Mus musculus: one gene and its partners. The protein of the gene in region 1 purifies or fractionates together with the protein of each later gene. This does not show direct contact. Links are inferred from orthologs where the notes say so. Each region holds a gene or a part of one and is shown in the gene's direction. Other genes may lie near its edges. The genes, in order: Dnajb11, Tuba1a, Sdf2 and Sdf2l1.

Region 1 (4,694 bases):
AAAGCAGAGAGTTTCAAGTGCTTTGTGTCTTTTAGAGTATGAGAGGGAGTGGCTGACACATACATAGTTGAAATCATCAGAATCCTTACTTAGTTCATAGTAGTCACGAACTGAGCTCACTACCTAGCCTGAGAACTCAGTGAAACTCCCAAAGAGTCCTACACGTGAACATCGCTGTATGTACTCTAGTTACACGTGAGCGGGGATGTCTCCATCATGGATACGTGTGAAAGTAGAATTGCTGGGTTGGGTCCACACATTTATGCTTCACACAAAAGTGCCATAGTATGTTTGAAATTGTCCAAGTCAATAGTCAGCATGCCACGGCAGTTCATGTTTGCTCTGCCCCTGTCCATACGGAATAGTCCCTGTTCCCTCCTAGTTATTACGTGGGTATGGGATTACTGTGGTCTTGGTTTGTGCTTCTTAATTTCCAACTAGGCAAAACATCTCTTTCATTTGCCCTGTTTGTTTCTTCTTGTGACATGCCGTTTCACCATGTGCCCCGCTTTGTTGATTTCTGAGACTGCTTCATTTTTGCTCTTAAGTTTTTGTGAGCCGTAATGCAGATATAGTTATCCATTTATAATATAACTTATCTTTACACAGTATTTAAGATTTATTTTAATTAGTACAAGTGTTCATTTTAATGTGGAAAAAGTCTGATCTTTAATTGTTAATTTTAAAAGTCTGCTCTAACATGAGAAAGTTCTTCTGGGTTCTCCAGTAAAATTGGGCTTTCTTTTGCCTGAGGTTGTCTTTCTGTAACATTTGGAATGGGCTTTGCAGCTACTCTGCACGCTTTCAAACCCTGTTGTCTCACTTAACTAAATGCTGCTGGTTCCTCGCTGTGCATGAGAAGAGTGAGAGCTCCCTACAGAGCTGCGATCAGATGGCTGTGTGCACTTGTAAGGCATGCGAGCACTGCTCTGGGCGTTTTCTCCAGACGCTATGTCACTTCACTACATGAGCACATCGACATGAGATGTTATGTGTATCTTTATAGGTGTGTGTGCGCATGAGTGCAGGTGTTCAGGGCAGTGGATATAAGTAGTGGAACTCAATCCTCTACAAGAGCAAGATGTGCTCTTAACCATGATCTGTCCTGCCTTAAAGTACTTCTTTTGTTTTTTTTTTGGGGGGGGGGGATGAGGATAACATAGCCCAGGCTGGCCACAAATTCACCATGTACCCGAGGACATGACTATGAGTGTGTCTGAATGGTGACAGTGCTGGGGATTAGTCCTGGGCTAGGTTGCCTAAAACAGAAAGAGGTGGTCTGGGGAGATGGCTCACAGAACTGGGAGGTAGCCACACGGCAGCTTTTGAGTGCCATGGCTGTGCTCTGGGGGTGGTGCTTTAAACAACTCAGATTTCTCAACAACATAATAATCCTGTGAACTGCTTCAATTCAGAGGCCCTGGTGTGTCTTGGAAATGCTGGTATTAATACCTGGTTTTAGTCTCTTCTTCCCCTCTCTCCTTTCCTACAGATTCAGACTGAGATCAGAGTCATTTAAATATACACTTGCTTCCACCCTGTGTGAGGGTTGATTTGTACCCCAGAGAGGAAAACTAAAGGCTGTTTCATGTGTTCTTAGGTAGTTAGAAACAAGCCTGTGGCCAGGCAGGCTCCTGGCAAACGGAAATGCAACTGTCGGCAAGAGATGAGAACCACACAGCTGGGACCGGGACGCTTCCAAATGACCCAGGAAGTGGTTTGTGACGAGTGCCCTAATGTCAAGTAAGTGACAGGCCCTCAGTGTGTGTCTTGTTGACACATGTGACAGATATTTGTTTCCCTCCAGCTCTGACCTCAAGCACAAACCTGTATGTCTATGTGATGCAGAGTCACTCTCCTCTGAGTGTTAGCATCTGGATGCTCTACTCAGGCCCAGATAGCCTTGGCAAACAGCACAGTGGGCTATCCAAGAAGAGGCTCCCCAGGAGCTCAGAGGTGGAGCTGATTTATCTGGGCTCCCATTACTATTCTCTTCCCCTTTTGTCTCAGATTAGTGAATGAAGAACGAACACTAGAAGTGGAAATAGAGCCTGGGGTGCGAGATGGCATGGAGTACCCCTTTATTGGAGAAGGTGAGATGCTGGTGTTGACTATCAGAGCTCACTTCTGCCTTATCCATAACCTAACGGCTACATGGTATGTGGGGGGAGTGAAGGCATTGCCTTCCCAGACAGATATGACAGAGACATCGCCTGAGGCAGTGGATTTAAAAGTCACTAGAAGTGACACCAAATACACGTTCAGCTTGTGTAACTTCTGTTCTTCTTTGGACTGTCCTGACCAGGTGAGCCGCATGTGGATGGGGAACCCGGAGACTTACGGTTCCGAATCAAAGTTGTCAAGTAAGTGCCAGCGGGGAGAGGACTCCCAGCGATTGCAGTGGTAGGGAGTCCTCACTTTGTCTTCTGTTTTATGCCTACAATACCGTAGTCATTGTTTCTAACTCTGCAATAGTACTGAAAATAGGAGGTGATGCGCTGGCCCTGAGCCCCAGTTATTTACTTAGGACTTATAAATTCAAAAGCTGCTGGAAGGAAAGACAGGTAAGAATCTAAGAGAGAGCTGAGGGCTGGTCGAGCACTGTCCACATGCACATTGCCCAGTGTGGGCCCTGCTGGCTGCCACGCCTGCTGTGCCTTCCAGGTGGCTCAGACAGATCCGTAGTTCAAGGTCATCTAGCTTGGGATTCGTTATATCTTATCTCACAAACAAACAAACAAACAAACAAACCACCAGAAGTGAAAAGAGCTGTGAATGAGAGGCAGTCTGCAATAGGAATAAGGCATGCTGCCCTTGTTTCCCACAACAAGACCATTCGGTCATATTAATCCTCAGCCTCGCCTTTCATAGGCTTCCTCCAGTGCGGAGTGCTGCTTACACCCAGTACTCGGCCTTTCCAACTGACTATTCTCTTATTAACTGGTTGGAAACCAGTAAGAGGTCTGTGTTTAGGCTTCACTGAAACATTCATTGTTCCCACCAGATGATAGAGAACTGGCTCCTCTTCCCAGGCTTCCCCTCCGGCACCCTGATTGGGTGATCTTTTCTTGCATGCCTTGTCTCCCTCAGAGCTTCCCTGAGGAACTAGAACAGTTGTGTTCCCTCAGTAAGCCTGGTACCTTAGGTCAGGTGGGGGTAGGGAGTTAAGAGGTTGGAGCTCACTTTGTAGCCCAAGCTGGCCTTGAAGTCAGTGGTCTCACCTTATCTGTAACTTGGGAAATCACAGAAAACCGAGCTAAGCATGGCCTTTCTTTTCTATAACCTAATGATCAATGCTTTTTCCTTACATTTGTGTACTTGTGCTAATTGTAAGGTACTTAGCAATTGAGTTCAGTAAGACTGACACAGCTCTGTAATCTCAGAAATGCCATGTGTGCGTCTGTCTCCAGGATTTCTCTAGCACTATAAACCCTGATGGATTTTACCTTTTCCTTCTCAGGCACCGGATATTTGAGAGGAGAGGGGATGACCTGTACACAAATGTGACCGTCTCACTGGTTGAGGCTCTGGTTGGCTTTGAGATGGACATAACTCACCTGGATGGTCACAAGGTAAACACCCTCTCTTCCGGCTTTGTAGCCATGTGCTCTTGGGTTATCAGAGCCAGAGGCCATCTCTCACTGTCCTCTCTGCTGCTGAGCCTCCAGCTGTATTTTAAGTCTCTCTGTGCCTGTCAACCCTTGCCCTTCAACCTGCCTTTTCTGCTGAGCTGTGACACTACTAGCATTGTCCCCAGTGCCCAGTAGAAGTTGTGTGATGGACTTAGTGTGTGCCTGTCCTGCTCCACTGTGCTCCTTTTGCTTTCCAGGTCCATATTTCCCGGGACAAGATCACCAGGCCAGGAGCCAAGCTGTGGAAGAAAGGGGAAGGGCTGCCCAACTTTGATAACAATAACATCAAGGGCTCTTTGATAATCACTTTTGATGTGGACTTTCCAAAAGAACAGCTGACAGAGGAAGCAAAAGAAGGTACAGGGGTGGGTGTGTTTGTGTGTGTAGGGGGGTGTGTGTGTGCACGTGTGCATGGTATGGGATGACTGTCTGAAAGGAAACTAGCAAAACCCTTTAGAGCTGGGAGACATGGCTGCAGGCCTTCTGCAAAGCAAAGAAGCCCCGCTGTCGCTGTGCTCACTTGAGGGCTCTGTGAGCTGGGCTGTGAATCGAGTCGCTTAGGTGAAGAAGCCAGGCCAAACTGAAGGGAAGATGCGATGTCAGTGGGAGGGACAGGAGGCTCAGGGTGAACTTCTCTGCGCCAACTGCACGTGCCCTGCTCTAAGTGTTTAAAACGATAAGGAAATGGGTAGAAGCGGTGAAAGCTGGCAAAAGGGCAAGGAAGGAGGAGTGGAGTCAGCTGGGGTGATTGTCTTCCCCCTTTTTACCTGATCTCATTTCCCAGGGCTTCACAAGATGGGGGGAGGTGGGCTTGACTGAAAGAAGTAAGGCATCACACATGTGTGTTTGGAGGTGTCCGCTGTGAAGTTGGAAGCTGCAGAGAAGCCACGTTTTCGTTAATGAAGCCATTTACTCGTTCTTTCTGCAGGTATCAAGCAGCTTCTCAAACAAGGCCCCGTGCAGAAGGTGTACAACGGGCTGCAGGGCTATTAGGAGCGAAGAGAACTGGACTTTGAAAGAGGTGGATCAGCGATATTTATTATCTGCAGTGGGTTTTTGTGT
Region 2 (6,243 bases), on another chromosome or scaffold:
AATAGTCTATTTCTGACCTAGATCTTAAGTTATTTATGCTCAAGGGGTGAGAAAAAAAAGCCTCTCATTTGCATAAGGGACAGAATGGCTCTGAGTGGTGTGACAAAGAATCCTCCTTTTAATCCCCTGTAAAACAAAAGAACAGAAGACATTTCTCATCTTTTTGTATTATCAAGAAATAGAAATGAATCGCCATACTTGAAAAAAAATTGTGTTATACTTCATCGTGGCTCTGTAGTGTATGCTTTATTATTATTATTATTATTATTATTATTTGATGGAAGGAGGGGAGGCTTAGCTGGTAAAGGCACTTGCTACCACGGCTGAGAAGGTGAGGTTTGTCCCTGGAACTCCCACGGTGAAAGAAGAGAATCTGCTCCTGTAGTTGTCCTCTGGCCTCCAAAGACAAACACACACACACATACACACACACACACACACACACACACACACACACCCTCAAATACACATGCACACCTGCACAATACATGCACAAATGAAATAGTTTTTAATTGTGACGATCTTTTCAACAAGCTATTTGTCAATCCTTATGTTCTCTCCGCTGTTTAATTTTTTTTTTTTTTAATGAAGCACAGTTGGGATTTATTCATTACTATCAATTCTAAACATAAGAGTTAAGAGAGAAGTGATCAGAACAATATCGGAGCACATGGGTGTGGCCTTCTCTGAGAGAGCGCTGACACCATTTAGTTCTTGTTCTTGCTGATATACTTACATGTTAGAGGTAGTCAAGTCATCTCTCTTCCCTCTGCTATAAAATAATGAAGATGAGGGGGTTGTTTTTCCTAGGAAATATGCAAGAAGTAGACAATTCTTTGTTTGTGGGTTATATTGATTTGTTTTGTTTTGTTTTTCTTTAGAAAAGACTTTTACGATAAATTTAAACAAGAAAGGCAGAGCTGTGGACCTCAGGCTAGAAGAACTCATGGCCACCATTGTTAGCTCACAACCTGCAGCTGCTGTGTTCCCAAGGCTCTCCCTCCCACACCAGCGCCCTGCGCCTTGGGAGCCCAGCCGGAATGAATGGACTCCACAGGGCTCGCAAACAGAGCTGCGGGCGACCAAGACTCTGCTACTGAAAGGGAAGCCATCTGTCAAAATCCACATTTTTAGCTCGGTGCCCAAACAAATATCTCTTTTCCTCTAAAATTTCATCCTGCAAATTATCAGTGGTCCGCAGCTCGGAGACTCACTATATAGAGATCTTCCTTGCTGACAACGGAGCCTTTCTACATAGCAAGAGAGTGCCACTGTAATCTATTTCCTAGGAGTGAAAGCAAGGCATTTTTGTCCCAAGGGGCAATTGAGCAAGGACCACAGTCTCTGGCTGAGCAGCCTTGGGGAGAGCAGCTACAGTTCCCACAGTCAGAAGCCCAGCTGCGGAAGGGGCTATTTACAGAATTCAGGGAACTACATAAAACTGCAGCAGGGCTGGCACTGCACAGTTGTCTGGGGATGAAAACATCACAAAATGGTTTCCTTTTATATTATAAAACGCTCCTCTTTTTAATTTGGCATCTCAGTTATTTTTTACTTGATATCACCCCTCCCCCTCCAAAAAAAAAAAAAAGACTGGAGAAATACAAGCCCACACAAAGAGCTAGTTTTTAAACTCAATTCTTTCTCCTTACAGTTTCTGAATTCCATATTAGAAAGGATGGCTCATTTCTAGGGACAAAATAACACAGGCTCTGGGGTGAGGTAGGGTGGGGTAGGGGGGCGGGCACGGAGGGGTGATGGGAGAGAATTACAGCTAAAGAAAGAAAGCTCTCTAGTATTAAGTACTACTTTGTATATTATTTCTCTCTTCTCTTCTTTCTTTCTTTCTTTCTTTCTTTCTTTCTTTCTTTCTTTTTCTTTTGGTTTTTGAGACAGGATATCACACTATATATCCAGGGTGGGCACAAATTAGCTGCAATCCCCGGCTTCCCAGTGCTGGGATACACAGGAATAAACCACTAAGGCCAGTTAAGATGACCTTGAGCTGCAAGTCTTCCTGCCTCTGACTCCCAGGTGCTGTTGAGGTCACAGGCGTGGTCTACTCGTACTGACTTTTGCTCAAATAATAATAAAGAATAACAATAATACAATAACTATGAAACTAAACATTCAGCCACGCCTTTTTGACCACCCCCGTATCTTCTGCTACTTTTTAAAGCAAATAGAGATGTTGAATTCTGACAGAACGTAATTAAATTCAGTATATTAAAAATGAAAAGCTGGAATTTTCCAAAAAGATTCTAAACATAAATTCTGTGATTAAGTGTTGGGAAAAACCTTAGATGATTTTTAAATACAGTTTAAGGTTTAAACTACGTATAATCATCCAACCCCAGTTTTCTTTCTTCCCTTTCCACCCCTCCCCAACTCCACCCCATAATGGATGCTCGGCTAGCTGCCTTTGCACGGCCTTTGTCTGAAGGATGCAAAGTCTACGGATGCTAGGGGGAAGGGGTGGGGGAGAGATTACCTCATACCATGTCGCTTGCACCAATCACCACTCTCCTGTCGCGGCTTCTCTGGGCAGACAGAGGGGTCTGGACCAACAGGAAAAGGCCCTGGCCCATCCCCATGGTGACAGAGCTGTATATAAGGAGCCGCATCCGCCCAAGTGCCGCAGGTTCTCTTACATCGACCGCCTAAGAGTCGCGCTGTAAGAAGCAACACCTCCTCCTCGCCTCCGCCATCCACCCGGCAGCCGCGAAGCAGCAACCATGGTGAGCAAGCCTTCCCCGGCTCTCGGTAGATAGAGGGTGGGTGTCAGTCGCCCCAGATCTGCAAGGAAACGTCTAAGGCTTTGGTCACCTCTGCGGGGAAAGGGTGGTCTCCATGCTTTAAGTTTATCTTAGTCTTTGAGTCCCGCCGCCGCAGTGCGGGACACGGAAACGCCCAGACCGGGAAGAACAAAGGCAGCGCCGATGAGCTAGCGCTGGCAGAGCCAGGGACTGCAGGGGACCACGGGGACCGCCGGGGACGGGTGGGGGATCGAGGGTCCGCTGCTGTAGGAGGGCAGGGGCGGCGGCCGAGCCCGAACTCCAGAAACACCGCCCCACTTCGCTAGGAAAATGTTTAGTTTGCGTCGGATCCATGGCAGCCGCTGTCAGGGAGGCGCAGGGGCGGGGTTGTTTGTCTCTTGCTTCCGTGGCGTTTTGGGAGGGGTTGGTTCTCACTAAGCCTCTTCCGAGCGGTTTTTTTTTTTTTAATTATTTTTATTTTTACTTTAAAAAAAATCGTTGTGGAACTGTAGTCATGGGATGTTTCGTCTGCAGGGCTGTCAAAAATACGATTTGCTTAACGGGGACATCTCGCTGAGGGGGGAGGGGAGCTGGATGGTTGGGGAATGACAAAGCCCACTTTGTGAATCCTAGAGTACGCTGATGGTCAGAACCCAGGGAAACGCCCTTCCCCGCCCCCCACCCCCGCAGACAATGAAAGTAGTCCCTCCACAACAGACGTGTATCTCTATAGAATGAAATATTAGTGGTATGTAGAGATTCATAGGATAAAAATATTATTTTCTACTTTTAAATTTAGCTATCTTTTCACTTGTTTTTTTAAAAAATGTTGGCGCTCATTGTTTCTAACTTAGCCTGCTTTAAGAATATTTCCATTCCATACAGTGGAAAACCTTCAAAAAACAATGGATTTTCTGCAAAGAAAAAAATTATACTCTGCACCCAACCATCTTTTGTTCTAATAAATGTGCACTAATTCATTAATTCAGGCTAATGGCCCCAGCCAGGGTTAGGAGGGACCATGAAAGCAGCACAAAGAGATCGCATAGACAGCTGCTGGAAATAGAGCTTTCTCTGTTAAATAATGTAACAGCACAGGCTAGCACCAGGCACAGAGAACGTGGCAATGCAGAAATCAGACTTTGTCTAGCTTGTCGACTAGCCAAAGTACTGATGGGGTCTGTCTGCAGAAGGGTGTGGCTCCTGGCCTCAGCCGCACTGCAGATGTCAGTGTTGAAATAGAAGGTCCTATAGTGTGAGACTCTTTATTATGTAGCCTAGCCAGAGTACTGATGGGGTCCACAGAAGGGTGTGGCTGTTGGCCCCAGCCGCACTGCAGATGTCCATGATGAAATACCAGGTCCTATAGGATGAAAACTTCATCCTTACTTATCGGGTAAAGAAGCAATTAGTATTATTATGGATAATTATTTTGTTTTACAGAATCTATGCTTTAAATATTTTTCAAATATGAAAGCTGTTCTATTCAAGCAAGGCTTTGGAAACAATGGGTTTGCACCATGTCTTAAGCAGTATTAAGGTGACATCTAGGCCACACCCACTTTTGGTGTTTGTAGTGAGTACTCCTCATTGTTCCTGTTATTAGGGATGTGACTCCAAATAAATTTCAACAATATTTCTATTTTTAGAAACACTTTAGAAATCTATTAAGATCTAAAATAGAAATACAGCTTAATATTATAACAGCTTAATTTTATAATTTTTTTCCCTCTTTCCACAGCGTGAGTGCATCTCCATCCATGTTGGCCAGGCTGGTGTCCAGATCGGCAATGCCTGCTGGGAGCTCTACTGCCTGGAACATGGCATCCAGCCTGATGGCCAGATGCCAAGTGACAAGACCATTGGGGGAGGAGATGACTCCTTCAACACCTTCTTCAGTGAGACAGGAGCTGGCAAGCATGTGCCCCGGGCAGTGTTCGTAGACCTGGAACCCACGGTCATCGGTAAGCTGGCTGGGGGCTTCCCCAGGCATTCCTTCTTGGTCACATACTCAGAATCTCTCTCCAGACCCAGAAGGGTGAGTGAGCTTGTGTGTGTCCTCGGTGGCCGATGGCTGACGTCTTCTCCCTTTGCAGATGAAGTTCGCACCGGCACCTACCGCCAGCTCTTCCACCCTGAGCAGCTCATCACAGGCAAGGAGGATGCTGCCAATAACTATGCTCGTGGCCACTACACCATTGGCAAGGAGATCATTGACCTTGTCCTGGACAGGATTCGCAAGCTGGTAAATGCCATATATGGATGGGTTTAAAATGCAGTGGGAGGGTGTCTTGGTATCTGTCAGAATCTGTCAAGTCTTTTCTATCAAGCAAATATGGCTCCCAATCTAAAGGAATTGCAAATAGTGCTAAGAGTATGCCCTCCTAATAAAACATTACATTTCCTTTTCTCCCACAGGCTGACCAGTGCACAGGTCTCCAGGGCTTCTTGGTTTTCCACAGCTTTGGCGGGGGAACTGGCTCTGGCTTCACCTCCCTGCTGATGGAGCGGCTCTCTGTGGATTACGGAAAGAAGTCCAAGCTGGAGTTCTCCATTTACCCAGCCCCCCAGGTTTCCACTGCTGTGGTTGAGCCCTACAATTCCATCCTCACCACCCACACCACCCTGGAGCACTCTGATTGTGCCTTCATGGTAGACAATGAGGCCATCTATGATATCTGTCGTAGAAACCTCGACATTGAGCGCCCAACCTACACTAACCTAAACAGGTTGATAGGTCAAATTGTGTCTTCCATCACTGCTTCCCTCAGATTTGATGGGGCCCTGAATGTTGATCTGACAGAATTCCAGACCAACCTGGTACCCTACCCTCGTATCCACTTCCCTCTGGCCACTTATGCCCCTGTCATCTCTGCTGAGAAAGCCTACCACGAGCAGCTTTCTGTAGCAGAGATCACCAATGCCTGCTTTGAGCCAGCCAACCAGATGGTGAAATGTGACCCTCGCCATGGTAAATACATGGCTTGCTGCCTGCTGTACCGTGGTGATGTGGTTCCCAAAGATGTCAATGCTGCCATTGCCACCATCAAGACCAAGCGTACCATCCAGTTTGTGGACTGGTGCCCCACTGGCTTCAAGGTTGGCATTAACTACCAGCCTCCCACTGTGGTACCCGGTGGTGACCTGGCCAAGGTGCAGAGAGCTGTGTGCATGCTGAGCAACACCACAGCCATTGCTGAGGCCTGGGCTCGCCTAGATCACAAGTTTGATCTGATGTATGCCAAGCGTGCCTTTGTGCACTGGTATGTGGGTGAGGGCATGGAGGAGGGTGAGTTCTCTGAGGCCCGTGAGGACATGGCTGCCCTAGAGAAGGATTATGAGGAGGTTGGTGTGGATTCTGTGGAAGGCGAGGGGGAGGAAGAAGGAGAGGAATACTAAATTAAATGTCACAAGGTGCTGCTTCCACAGGGATGTTTATTGTGTTCCAACACAGAAAGTTGTGGTCTGATCAGTTAATTTGTATGTG
Region 3 (5,634 bases), on another chromosome or scaffold:
AGCCAAGCAAGCTTAGCAGAAGTTTTCCTTGATTACTCCCATCAAGGCACAAACAGCTTGTCAGGGCGTTGGTCATCCCCAGACTGCCTCTCCTCTTTGCCTTTGTGTTTTGCCTGCAGGTAGTGGGCAGCAGTCAGTGACAGGTGTGACCTCTGTGGATGACAGCAACAGTTACTGGAGGATACGGGGGAAGACAGCCACAGTGTGTGAAAGGGGAACCCCCATCAAATGCGGGCAGCCCATCCGTCTGACACACATCAACACAGGTCGAAACCTGCACAGCCACCATTTCACTTCACCTCTCTCTGGAAACCAGGTGAGATGGCAGGCGGTGGGTGTTCCTGCTTTGCTACTTGTCTGGCCTCTTGGTGCTTAGCTCGCTCCTTCCTTCCTTCTTTTATAAATATGAGACACTTCACAAACTTGTATGTCCTCCTTGATTATCCAATTTTAGTATATGCGTTGCTATAAGGAGCACATTAACCCTTTCCTTTCTAGGTAAGACATTCTCTTTTCTGCAGACTTGGAGAAATGACTCTATCTCTTTCTTAAGTGTGAAGAAAATGGTTTCAGGTCATCTAAACCAAAGTGAGGGAAGTCAAAATAGGATACATTAAAATACCAGTAAGTTAAGCCAGGCGTGGTGGCGCACGCCTGGAATCCCCGCACTCAGGAGGCAGAGGCAGGCGGATTTCTGAGTTCGAAGCCAGCCTGGTCTACAAAGTGAGTTCCAGGACAGCCAGGGCTATTCAGAGAAACCCTGTCTCGAAAAAAACAAAACAAAACAAACAAACAAAACCAAAAAAAAAAAACAAAAAAAACTAGTAAGTTGGTACAATAAAGAGTACAGGGCTGGAGAGATGGCTCAGCAGTTAGGAGCACTGGCGGCTCTTCTAAAGGATCCAGGCTCAGTTCTCACATGGTAGCTCAGTTTATTCCAGGTCCGGGGGATCAGACGCTCACTTCTGGTCTCCCTGGACACCAGGCACTCTAGTGATACAGCAACGTACTTGCAGGCAAATACTTGTATGTATAAGAACAAAAAATTAAAATTATTGGTTTTTGTTTTATTTTTGAGACAGGGTCACTGTGTAGTCAATCACAGATGGTCTAAAGCAGTGACTCTCAACCTGTGGGTCATGACCTCTCTGGAATTGTCAAATAACCCTTTTACAGGGTCACCTACAGATTTTTACATTATAATTTAAAACAATAGCAAAATTACAGTTATAAAGAAGTAACAAAAATAATTTTCTGGATGTAGATCACTACATATGACACATGCCAGGTTGGATTGTGTTTGTTTAAGACAAGGTCTTATGTAGCCAGGGCTGGCTTCCCATTCACTATAGCTCAGCTGGTCCCTGACTCTTGAAGCTCCTGACTGTACCTTCCAGCTTCCCAAGGTTATAGGCATGTGCCACCATGCCTAGTTTGGGGCTGTGCTGGGGACCAAAGCCAGGGCTTCATGAATGCTCAAGAAGCCCTTATCCACTGAGCCACCTCTCCAGCCCCTGACTGTGGTGTGTGTGCATGCATCTATTTATTTGAGGCAGGGCTTCGCTGTACTAGCCTTGGACTCACCATGCAGCTCCAGTCAGCCAGGAGCTCAAGGTGTTCCTCCTGCCTCAGCCTGTTACATTTTGAAAGTATAGGTGTACCTCGTCGTGCCTGACTAGAATTATTTTTTATCTTTATGTGTTTGAGTGTTTTCCTAGACGTATAGCTGTGCACTGTGTTGTGTGTGCATTGTCCTTGGAGGCCAGAAGTGGGCGTCAGATCCCCTGGAGCTGGGGCTACCGATGGTTGTGATGGCTGTGTGGGTTGCTGGTTATCAGACCTGGGTCCTCTGGAAGGGCAGCATATGCTCTGAGTTGGTTTTGGGGTTTTTTGTTCGTTTGTTTGTTTTTGTTTTTAACTTTTTAAAAACTTTTTAATTTTATGTATAAGATCCTATTACAGGGGGCTGGAGAGATGGCTCAGTGGTTAAGAGCACCGACTGCTCTTCCAAAGGTCCTGAGTTCAAATCTCAGCAACCACATGGTGGCTCACAACCACCCATAATGAGATCTGACGCCCTCTTCTGGTGCATCTGAAGACAGCTACAGTGTACTTAGATACAATAATAAATAAAAATCTTAAAAAAAAAATATTTAAAAAAAAAAAAAGATCTTATTACAGATGGTTGTAGTTACTGGGAATTGAACTCAGGAACCAGGAAGAACAGTAAGTGCTCTTAACCTCTGAGCCACTTCTCCATTTTTGGTTTTGTTTTATTTTTACTTTAGGCACATTAGCATTTTGCCTGTATGTGTCTGTGAGGGTGCCGGATCCCTGGAAACAAGTGTATGGTTGTATTATCCTCTCCCCAGAAGTTAAAATAAGTGATGAGTTTGTTCAGAAGACCAAATGCAGTAGTGTACACCATAGTCTCACCTGCTTAAAAGAAAGAACACTTGAGCCCACATGGACTCCTGCCATGGACCACCCCAGTCAGGTTTTGGGGTCCCTGGAATGAGTGTCCTCGAACTTAGGTGGGTAAGGATTCGACGGTGACAAACAGAAACGAACACAGAGGCAGTTTGAATGAATGTATTTTGCAGCTCTCAAGCAGAGGATTTTATACATTAAAAAACCAAACATTACATCTCTTAGAAACTATATCCAGTAAAACAATCACATACCAACAAAAATCATTTGGCACAGTATAGCACAAAAATCATCCAAGCATTGCAACTCTGAAACTATTTATTCAGTGCATCACAAACAGAACAGGTAACATCATTATAAATCATCAAAATATAACAATTCTAAAAGTATGTATTCAGTGGGCGCTGTCGTCCAAGGCTAGTGGCATATTTCCAGGAGCAGGTTAATAAATCTTTAACGGTCAGTGCTCTTAACCACTGAACTAACTCTCTAGCCTCATGGTCAATTATTATTTAACATCTAGTGCCTGATTTTTTTTTTTTATAAATCTTCAATGTATAAATTTTAAAAAATTAAAAAAATAAATTAAAAAAAACATATGACATAGTATGTCAGTGCTTGGGTCATAATCTGAGACAGCTCATTCTTTTTTTTTTTTTTTTTTTTTTCTTTGGTTTTTGAGACAGGGTTTCTCTGTGTAGCTCTGGCTGTCCTGGAACTCACTTTGTAGATCAGGCTGGCCTCGAACTCAGAAATCCGCCGCCTCTGCCTCCGGAGTGCTGGGATTAAAGGCGTGGGCCACCACACCCGGCGAGACAGCTCATTCTTCCTTGTGCCCTTTGTGTCTTTTTATTCCCTCACAGTTTATCTCATGCAGAAAAAAATGTTCAACAAGCTGGGTATCGTGGCACACGCCTTTAATTCCATCACGTAGGAGCCAAAGGCAGGCAGATCTCTGAGTCCAGTCTGATCTACAGTGCAAGTTCCAGGACAGCCTGGTCTACACAAAAAAACCCTGTCTCAAAACAACAACAGCACAAATATTTGTGCATTAACACTAGAAAGTCCCAATCCTGTTTCTCTTGGGCAGTTTTATTTTTCTTCTCACTGACTCCTTATTATTTGGAGACAGGGTCTCTTCTAGCTTAGGCTAGCCTCAAACTGTCTATGTAGCCAGTTGATCTTGACCTCCCTAATGCTCTTATCTCCAGTTCCCTAATATTACAGCTGTGGTGGGCTCCACCATTCTCAGCTCCATTCCTCCACTCTTCAGACCTAACCACCACATGTTGTTGTTGTTTTTTTCCCAAATATTTATTTATTATTATACATAAGTACACTGTAGCTGACTTCAGATGCACCAGAAGAGGGTGTCAGATCTCATTATGAGTGGTTGTGAGTCACCATGTGGTTGCTGGAATTTGAATTCAGGACCTTTGGAAGAGCAGTCAGTGCTCTTACCTGCTGAGCCATCTCCCCAGCCCTGACCACCAGGTGTTAATGTTACCATTTTGTGTCTTTTAGGAAGTGAGTGCCTTTGGCGAAGAAGGTGAAGGCGACTATCTGGATGACTGGACAGTGCTCTGTAATGGACCTTACTGGGTTAGAGATGGTGAGGTGAGGTTCAAACATTCTTCCACTGACGTACTGCTGTCTGTCACAGGAGAACAGTACGGACGACCCATAAGTGGACAAAAAGAGGTACATGGTATGGCCCAGCCAAGTCAGAACAACTACTGGAAGGCCATGGAAGGCATCTTCATGAAGCCCAGTGAGTTGCTGAGGGCAGAGGTCCATCATGCAGAGCTGTGACTCTAAATACTCTGAGCCACTGTCGCCACACAGTGTTTGTAGACATCTGCTGCTGCTTTACTGCGGGATCCCTGCTCCAGGTCCTCTGAGCGTGCTGCCTTGGGACCTGCAGCCCTTCACACTTGAATTGGTTGCTCTCCCAGGCTTAGTCAGTTCTCTCGGGAAAGGACTCACTCGTCTGTGAAGGTGGAGATAGCTTTCTTCATGCTGGTAAAAGAAGTTGAGGAGCTTGCCTGTCTTAGCTGGGAAGTGTAACTCCGCAGGAACTGGGCATCATGGATTCTTAATTTGTGATTTCTCCTGTTTTGTCTTTCTCCAAAATAATGAATAAATAAATAAATAAAAAGACTTTTATTCATTGTGTGGTCATTTATTAAGCAGGCTATTTCATGATCTGACTGCTTAATTCACAAGTCCTAAGACTTTTTTTGTTTTTGTTTTTGTTTTTGTTTTTGTTTTGTTTTTTTCTCTGTATAGCCCTGGCTGTCCTGGAACTCACTTTGTAGCCCAGGCTGGCCTTGAACTCAGAAATCCGCCTGCCTCTACCTCCCAAGTGCCACCACTGCCTGGCGACTTTTTTTTTTTAAAGATTTATTTATTATTATATGTAAGTACACTGTAGCTGTCTTCAGATGCACCAGAAGAGGGCATCAGATCTCATTATGGATGGTTGTGAGCCACCATGTGGTTTCTGGGATTTGAACTCAGGACCTTTGGAAGAGCAGTCGGTGCTCTTAACCACTGAGCCAAGTCTCCAGCCCTTTTTTTTTTTTTTAAAGATTTATTTATTTATTTATATGAGTACACTGTAGCTGTCTTCAGATTCACTAGAATTACAGATGGTTGTGAGCCACCGTGTGGTTGCTGAGAATTGAACTCAGGACCTCTGGGAAGAGCAGCCAGTGTTCCTACCCACTGAACCACCATCTCTCTGGCCCCCTAAGACTTTCAAGGTGCTAGGAATCTTCACTGCTGGCCCTTTTAGGAGGTTTATTTCCATATAACCCTTTTCTCTCTGTGCCTTCAAATCCTTCCCCAGCACGTCTTTATTAAATTTTGACCATGTGTAAGGAAGACTTTCACAGAGTTTATCATCATATCTAGCTGATGTCATGTCTTCCTGAGGATCTGTTATGTAGATGAGAAAAGGACTTAGGGTTACCAAAACCAACATTAGTTCACTACTAATCTAGGCACCATCTGACAACCCTTCGTTTAAACATCATAGACTCTTCACAGGGTAGATACACTTTTGACAGTGTGGGAGAGAAAACCTGAGTAGCCACCTGCATTCTGGAAAGCAGTAGGTACTTTTTGGGATAGGAGCTGTACCTGCCTTGGTCTTTTTACCTGCACCACAGTGTGTTTAGCTCTTAAAAGGCAGCTTCTGCT
Region 4 (6,156 bases), about 5.7 Mb from region 1:
GGGACCAGGACCAATAGGAGTGCCAGGAAAAACTCTTGGCTGTGCTTCTTTCAGGGAGGGAAGATCAGCTAAGAGGCAAGACCAACAAGCATTTAGCTACCTACGTTAGCAAGCCAAGTCTATCACTGTCCATCGAGTCCTTTTTATTCTCTCTGTAAACATTATGTGTCCTCCATGGGTCTTGCCTCAGCACATGAGTCTGTCTTAGCAAAACTCCATGTGAGTCTGTCTCAGCTGACATCACTCTGTCAATTGGCAGAGTCTGTAGAAGTGGCAAGAAGCGAGACATACCACCACCAGAAGTTTTTTGGTGCACTTTTCTCTATGGAGTCCTGACAAATGGAGCTCAACTACGAAATGTAAGATGGACCAATATATGTGTGTCATTAGCAGAGAATCCATTATCATATGTCCTTTCATGTGTTTGTTTAAGCAAAACATCCTTTTATCTGAATGTTCCTTCATGAGTCTGTCTTAGCTTTTCATCTATGTCCACTTCAGCAAAACGTTCCTTCACATGTTTGCTCCAACAAAACATCAACCCAATGCAACTGACACATAGAGTCCTTAAGTCTCCACTTCAAGGGCTGGAGAGATGGCTCACTGGTTAAGAGCACTGTCTTCCAGAGTTCCTGAGTTCAGTTCCCAGCAACTACATGGTGGCTCACAACCATCTGTAATGGGATCCAATGCCCTCTTCTAGTGTGTCTGAAGACAGCTACAACTCATATACATAAAAAAAAAAAAACTGTTTTAAAAAGTTTCTGTGAGAGAGAGAGAGAGAGAGAGAGAGAGAGACGGAAACAAATATAAAATGTCATGAGGTGAGGCCCCATAAAAGTTAAAAGAATTTTTGGTTCCCCCATTTTGGCTCTGGAGTGTAAGCAGAGATATTTTGTGTGAGGCTGTGGTCCTTTGTGAAAGGCAGTTCTGGCTGAGCCTTTTGTAAATTATTCTTGTTAGACATTCATGCACGAGATCCCCTCCTTCTCAGCCTCATATTCATGTGTGTGTTAGGGTTAAAGGCCTGACAAATGACTCTATTTTGATTCTAACTATTCTGACACAGCTTACTTAGAAACATGTTGTCTGCCTGTCATCCTCTCTAGGCGGATGACCTCAGACTTATTCTTGAACTTCCTGCCTCCACTACTTGAGGGTTGATTTGCTAAGGATCAAATCCAGGGTTTTGCGCTTGCTGGACTCACTCAACTGAGCTACATCTGCAGACGGAAACATAAACTTTAATGCAAACATAAACTTTACTGCGTATCTAGCTAGTGCCCTAAGTACATGCTTCATCAGCTTCTTAGTAATGTAGCCTGGAGGGGCAGTTCCTTTGTGAATACTCAACAGATGGATGGATGGATAGAGTGAATGTGTGTACGTGAGCGCGCGCGCCAGCACTGTGTGAGTGTGTGTGTGTGTGTGTGTGTGAGAGAGAGAGAGAGAGAGGGCTCACAGCTTTGTCATCCAGCAACCTTAGGATTCTGCCACCAAATGACTCAAGTAGCTGCATGACTAAGAGAATTAAAAAACCATGGGGTCCAGAAACTGATGTGATTCAGTTTGATTAACTCCTGGGGCCAGGAGATTTCAATAACTTTGTTATCTGCCCACTTTGAGACCACAAAATCTCGTAATTAACATAAGAACCTGTAGCTTTATCCCGGGGTCTGAGTGGAGGGACACGAGACTAAAGTTTAGGGGGTCCAGGGTCAAAGGGGTTCCTATACCTACTACACCCGAGGATCTCTAACCGGGAGCCAAGTGACTAGAAGCAACCAACCCGGGTGTGCGGCTTTCCGTGGCCTCTCCGGGGACGCTCGCCGCAGCCACTGCTTTATTGGCGGGTCCTCGGAAGCGTGGACCAGTTAAAATCCTCCTGGTGTCTCCAACCCCTTTCCAGCTACCTCCTTGGAAGCTGGGGGTGGGGCCGCTGCACACGGTCCAATAGCAGTGCAGGAGGAACGCGCGCGCGCAGACGATTGGCTGCCGTGGGAGGGCGCTGTCAGAGCTGGATTGGCCGCTGTTGAGGACGGAAGCGCAGAGGTCTAGAGCAGCTGGAACCTGGCCGGCTGGCGGGATGTGGGGCGCGAGCCGGGGCAGGGTAGCGGGGCCAACGCTGCTGGGGCTGCTGCTGGCGCTCTCAGTGCGGAGTGGGGGCGCGTCCAAGGCCAGCGCCGGGCTAGTGACCTGCGGGTCAGTGCTGAAGCTGCTCAACACCCACCACAAAGTGCGGCTGCACTCACACGACATCAAATACGGATCTGGTGCGCAGGGGTGGTGACTGGGACCGCCAGGGGGCGGAGGGCTTAGAGACTAGGTGGTCCTAGCGGGGTCTGTGGGTTGTCAGGGAGCTGGGTGGTTGCGAGTCTAGACTCGCTTGTGGGTCGTGACTGACAAGCCTGAGGGATCGAGGATGCGCGGGAAGGGGGAGGGCGATGTCCACCGGTACTTAGGGTCTGGCCTGGGCTGGGGTGAGCTCTTTGGATCCTAGAGTGGTAGGGGCTGTGAGGGAAACTTTTTAGTGTTCAAGACGAGGGTCCGGAGGTCTGTGATTAACAAGAATCCACGGGGTGGGGTGGGCTGTTACTCTTCAGGCAGCGGCCAACAGTCGGTAACCGGCGTGGAGGAGTCCGACGATGCCAATAGTTACTGGCGGATTCGCGGCGGCTCCGAGGGTGGGTGCCCGCGCGGACTCCCAGTGCGCTGTGGGCAAGCAGTGCGGCTCACGCACGTGCTCACCGGCAAGAACCTGCACACGCACCACTTCCCGTCGCCGCTATCCAACAACCAGGCAAGCCCCGTTCCGAAACCCACAGAGGCTGCGTGGGGCAGGGACCCAAAGACAGAGGGAGGGATGTAGGGGAGGGGCCCAAGAGGGGACTCAGTGTCAGCTACTGTGAATTGGGAGTTTCTATTCAGAAGTTTATGGAGCTCCTGCTCTGGGTCCTGTCCCCAGTAACTTTCTCCACCGAGTTAGAAGTGAGAGATTAGTTCGTATTTGGACACAGAGGTGGACCCACAGCGCAGATAATAGGAAACTGCAGGAAGGAGAAACTCAGGGCTGGGTCTTAAAGAGAAGTGGGAGCTTCTTCCTACTCCTTCCCCTCTGCGAAAGAGTTCCTACTAAAGTACAGTGTTCATTGCAGCTGGTCTGGGAGGGACGCAGGGAGAATCTGACAGTGCTTTGGAGAGTTTCAGGGGGAAAATGTTGGAGGGGAATTTGGGGGTAAGGCCAGTTGGCACTACACAGTCTGATACAAGAGGCTCTATGCACCTGAAGAATGGGGTGAGAGTCTATTTTGAGACCAGATTTCTCTATGTAGCCCTGGCTGTCCTAGAACACACTATGTAGACCAGGCTGGCCTTAAACCCCCCAGAGATCTGCCTGCCTATACCTTCTGAGTGCTACGCTTAAAGGCGTGTGCCGCTGAGCCTAGCTAGGGCAGGACTCTTGGCTTCCATTTTCATAGCTGTGAATGCTGAAGGTCAGGAAAAGGAGCAGAGGCCCCAGGATACTAGGTGCAAATATGACGGCCAGACATGCAGCTCAGGGGAGCTTGTGCCCTCTGTGTGACTGTTCCTATACCTTATACTCTCAGGAGGTGAGTGCTTTTGGGGAAGACGGTGAGGGTGATGACCTGGACCTGTGGACAGTCCGATGTTCTGGGCAACACTGGGAGCGAGAGGCCAGTGTCCGCTTCCAGCACGTGGGCACCTCTGTGTTCCTGTCGGTCACTGGTGAACAGTATGGTAACCCCATCCGTGGGCAGCATGAGGTTCATGGCATGCCTAGTGCCAATGCTCACAACACGTGGAAGGCAATGGAAGGAATCTTCATCAAGCCTGGAGCAGATCTCTCCACGGGTCACGATGAACTCTGAGAACCAGATGAGTGATGGGAGGGTGGCTGAGTGGCAATCTCGGGGTCACTCTTGTGTAAGACTTTGTTTGTAGGGGCCCTCAAGTGCCTTTATGATTAAAGAATGTTGGTCTGGGATTATTTTTGCTGTAACCCTGGGGAAGATCTGAAGGTGCCAGCCATATCTGTCCAAGTTACCATCTCACCTGTCTCAAGCACCTGCTGAAATTTTTTTTTTTTTTTTTTTTTGAGACTGTCTCACTATGTATCCTTGGCAGGCCTGGAACTCACAGAGAGATCCACCTGCCTCTGTCTCCTGAGTGCTGGTATTAAAGGTGTACACCACCACAACTGGCCCCAACCTGTTCAATAAACTCATTTTTATTACTAAGTGTGAGTGCATGAGATGTGTTTGTTGCCACCTGTACCTCAGAGCAGCTCTCTCTAGTCGCTTCTCATCTTCCACCTTTATGTTGGTTCCAGAGATCACTCTCAGTTTGCCAGCTTCACACAGTACACATAGCCATCTCACTGTCCCAAACCTTTTCTGGATGCCTGTCTGTGCAGTTTAACTCTGCAGTCTACCATACAGTGTCGTCAGAGCCGCCGACCTCATTTCCCAGGACTTGACCTTAGGCAATTTCTCTATTGAAGGGCCTTGGCCGTAGGCAGGGCCCCTGCCAACTGGGATGGGCTCAAACTCTCCAGTCCTCTCATCTCTTACTCTCAGGAACCCATTCTTCTGGTGGTTGCAGCAGTTTTGAAACTTATCTTTGACTAAAGGTCTGTTGAGGATTCTGCCTATCTATTGGGAATTAACACCTCAGGCTCCCAGACTTTTGATGGCAATGGCACACTCCCCCTTACTCTGACCTGCCCATGGTGCAGGCCCCCACTAGGACATCCAAGGCCCTAAAGAAAGAAGAGAACTAGGGAAGATGACTTGCTAGTTGGGAGCACAGCCTGCACTTTCAGAGGACTAGTAACTATGTCATGTCAGGTGGTTCACAACTTGTAACTCCAGTTCTGGGAGGGATCTCTCAGACCTCTTATTCCTGCACACATGCGCACAAACCTACAGGGACACCTGTAATTTTTTTTTCCATTTTTTATTAGGTATTTAGCTCATTTACATTTCCAATGCTATACCAAAACTCCCCCATACCCACCCACCCCCACTCCCCTACCCACCCACTCCCCCTTTTTGGCCCTGGCATTCCCCTGTACTGGGCCATATAAAGTTTGTAAGTCCAATGGGCCTCTCTTTGTAGTGATGGCTGACTAGGCCATCTTTTGATACATATGCAGCTAGAGTCAAGAGCTCCGGGGTACTGCTTAGTTCATATTGTTGTTCCACCTATAGGGTTGCAGTTCCCTTTAGTTCCTTGGGTGCTTTCTCTAGTTCCTCCATTGGGGGCCGTGTGACCCATCCAATAGCTGACTGTGAGCATCCACTTCAGTGTTTGCTAGGCCCTGGCATAGTCTCACAAGAGACAGCTATATCTGGGTCCTTTCAGCAAAATCTTGCTAGTGTATGCAATGGTGTCAGCATTTGGAAGCTGATCATGGGATGGATCTCTGGATATGGCAATCACTAGATGGTCCATCCTTTCGTCACACTTCCAAATTTTGTCTCTGTAACTCCTTCCATGGGTGTTTTGTTTCCTATTCTAAGAAGGGGCAAAGTGTCCACACTTTAGTCTTCGTTCTCTTGAGTTTAATGTGTTTAGCAAATTGTATCTTATATCTTGGGTATCCTAAGTTTCTGGGCTAATATCCACTTATCAGTGAGTACATATTGTGAGAGTTCCTTTGTGATTGGGTTACCTCACTCAGGATGATGCCCTCCAGGTCCATCCATTTGCCTAGGAATTTCATAAATTCATTCTTTTTAATAGCTGAGTAGTATTCCATTGTGTAAATGTACCACATTTTCTGTATCCATTCCTCTGTTGAGGGGCATCTGGGTTCTTTCCAGCTTCTGGCTATTATAAATAAGGCTGCTATGAATATAGTGGAGCATGTGTCCTTCTTACCTGTTGGGACATCTTCTGGATATATACCCAGGAGAGGTATTGCTGGATCCTCCGGTAGTACTATGTCCAATTTTCTGAGGAACCGCCAGACTGATTTCCAGAGTGGTTGTAGAAGCTTGCAATCCCACCAACAATGGAGGAACATTCCTCTTTCTCCACATCCTCGCCAGCATCTGCTGTCACCTGAATTTTTCATCTTAGCCATTCTGACTGGTGTGAGGTGGAATCTCAGGGTTGTTTTGATTTGCATTT

Evidence for each region.
Region 2: the proteins of Dnajb11 (region 1) and Tuba1a purify together in Homo sapiens (affinity purification with mass spectrometry; 3 studies listed by BioGRID and IntAct, counting the BioPlex papers as one, with this or other methods). This does not show direct contact. The link is inferred for Mus musculus from reciprocal best matches to the Homo sapiens genes DNAJB11 and TUBA1A.
Region 3: the proteins of Dnajb11 (region 1) and Sdf2 purify together in Homo sapiens (affinity purification with mass spectrometry; 3 studies listed by BioGRID and IntAct, counting the BioPlex papers as one, with this or other methods). This does not show direct contact. The link is inferred for Mus musculus from reciprocal best matches to the Homo sapiens genes DNAJB11 and SDF2.
Region 4: the proteins of Dnajb11 (region 1) and Sdf2l1 purify together in Homo sapiens (affinity purification with mass spectrometry; 3 studies listed by BioGRID and IntAct, counting the BioPlex papers as one, with this or other methods). This does not show direct contact. The link is inferred for Mus musculus from reciprocal best matches to the Homo sapiens genes DNAJB11 and SDF2L1.

What each region holds. Positions count from the first base shown.
Region 1 is NC_000082.6:22,867,111-22,871,804, forward strand, and holds part of Dnajb11 (dnaJ homolog subfamily B member 11 precursor), read left to right. Parts: intron 1-1,600; coding exon 1,601-1,743; intron 1,744-2,010; coding exon 2,011-2,093; intron 2,094-2,305; coding exon 2,306-2,363; intron 2,364-3,460; coding exon 3,461-3,572; intron 3,573-3,829; coding exon 3,830-3,989; intron 3,990-4,560; coding exon 4,561-4,625; 3' UTR 4,626-4,694. UniProt on the Homo sapiens protein: As a co-chaperone for HSPA5 it is required for proper folding, trafficking or degradation of proteins.
Region 2 is NC_000081.6:98,949,946-98,956,188, reverse strand, and holds the start of Tuba1a (tubulin alpha-1A chain), read left to right. Parts: upstream 1-2,687; 5' UTR 2,688-2,735; coding exon 2,736-2,738; intron 2,739-4,497; coding exon 4,498-4,720; intron 4,721-4,852; coding exon 4,853-5,001; intron 5,002-5,174; coding exon 5,175-6,155; 3' UTR 6,156-6,243. UniProt on the Homo sapiens protein: Tubulin is the major constituent of microtubules, a cylinder consisting of laterally associated linear protofilaments composed of alpha- and beta-tubulin heterodimers.
Region 3 is NC_000077.6:78,250,897-78,256,530, forward strand, and holds the end of Sdf2 (stromal cell-derived factor 2 isoform 1 precursor), read left to right. Parts: intron 1-119; coding exon 120-316; intron 317-3,954; coding exon 3,955-4,242; 3' UTR 4,243-4,600; downstream 4,601-5,634.
Region 4 is NC_000082.6:17,128,241-17,134,396, reverse strand, and holds Sdf2l1 (stromal cell-derived factor 2-like protein 1 precursor), read left to right. Parts: upstream 1-2,013; 5' UTR 2,014-2,086; coding exon 2,087-2,273; intron 2,274-2,603; coding exon 2,604-2,800; intron 2,801-3,608; coding exon 3,609-3,890; 3' UTR 3,891-4,259; downstream 4,260-6,156.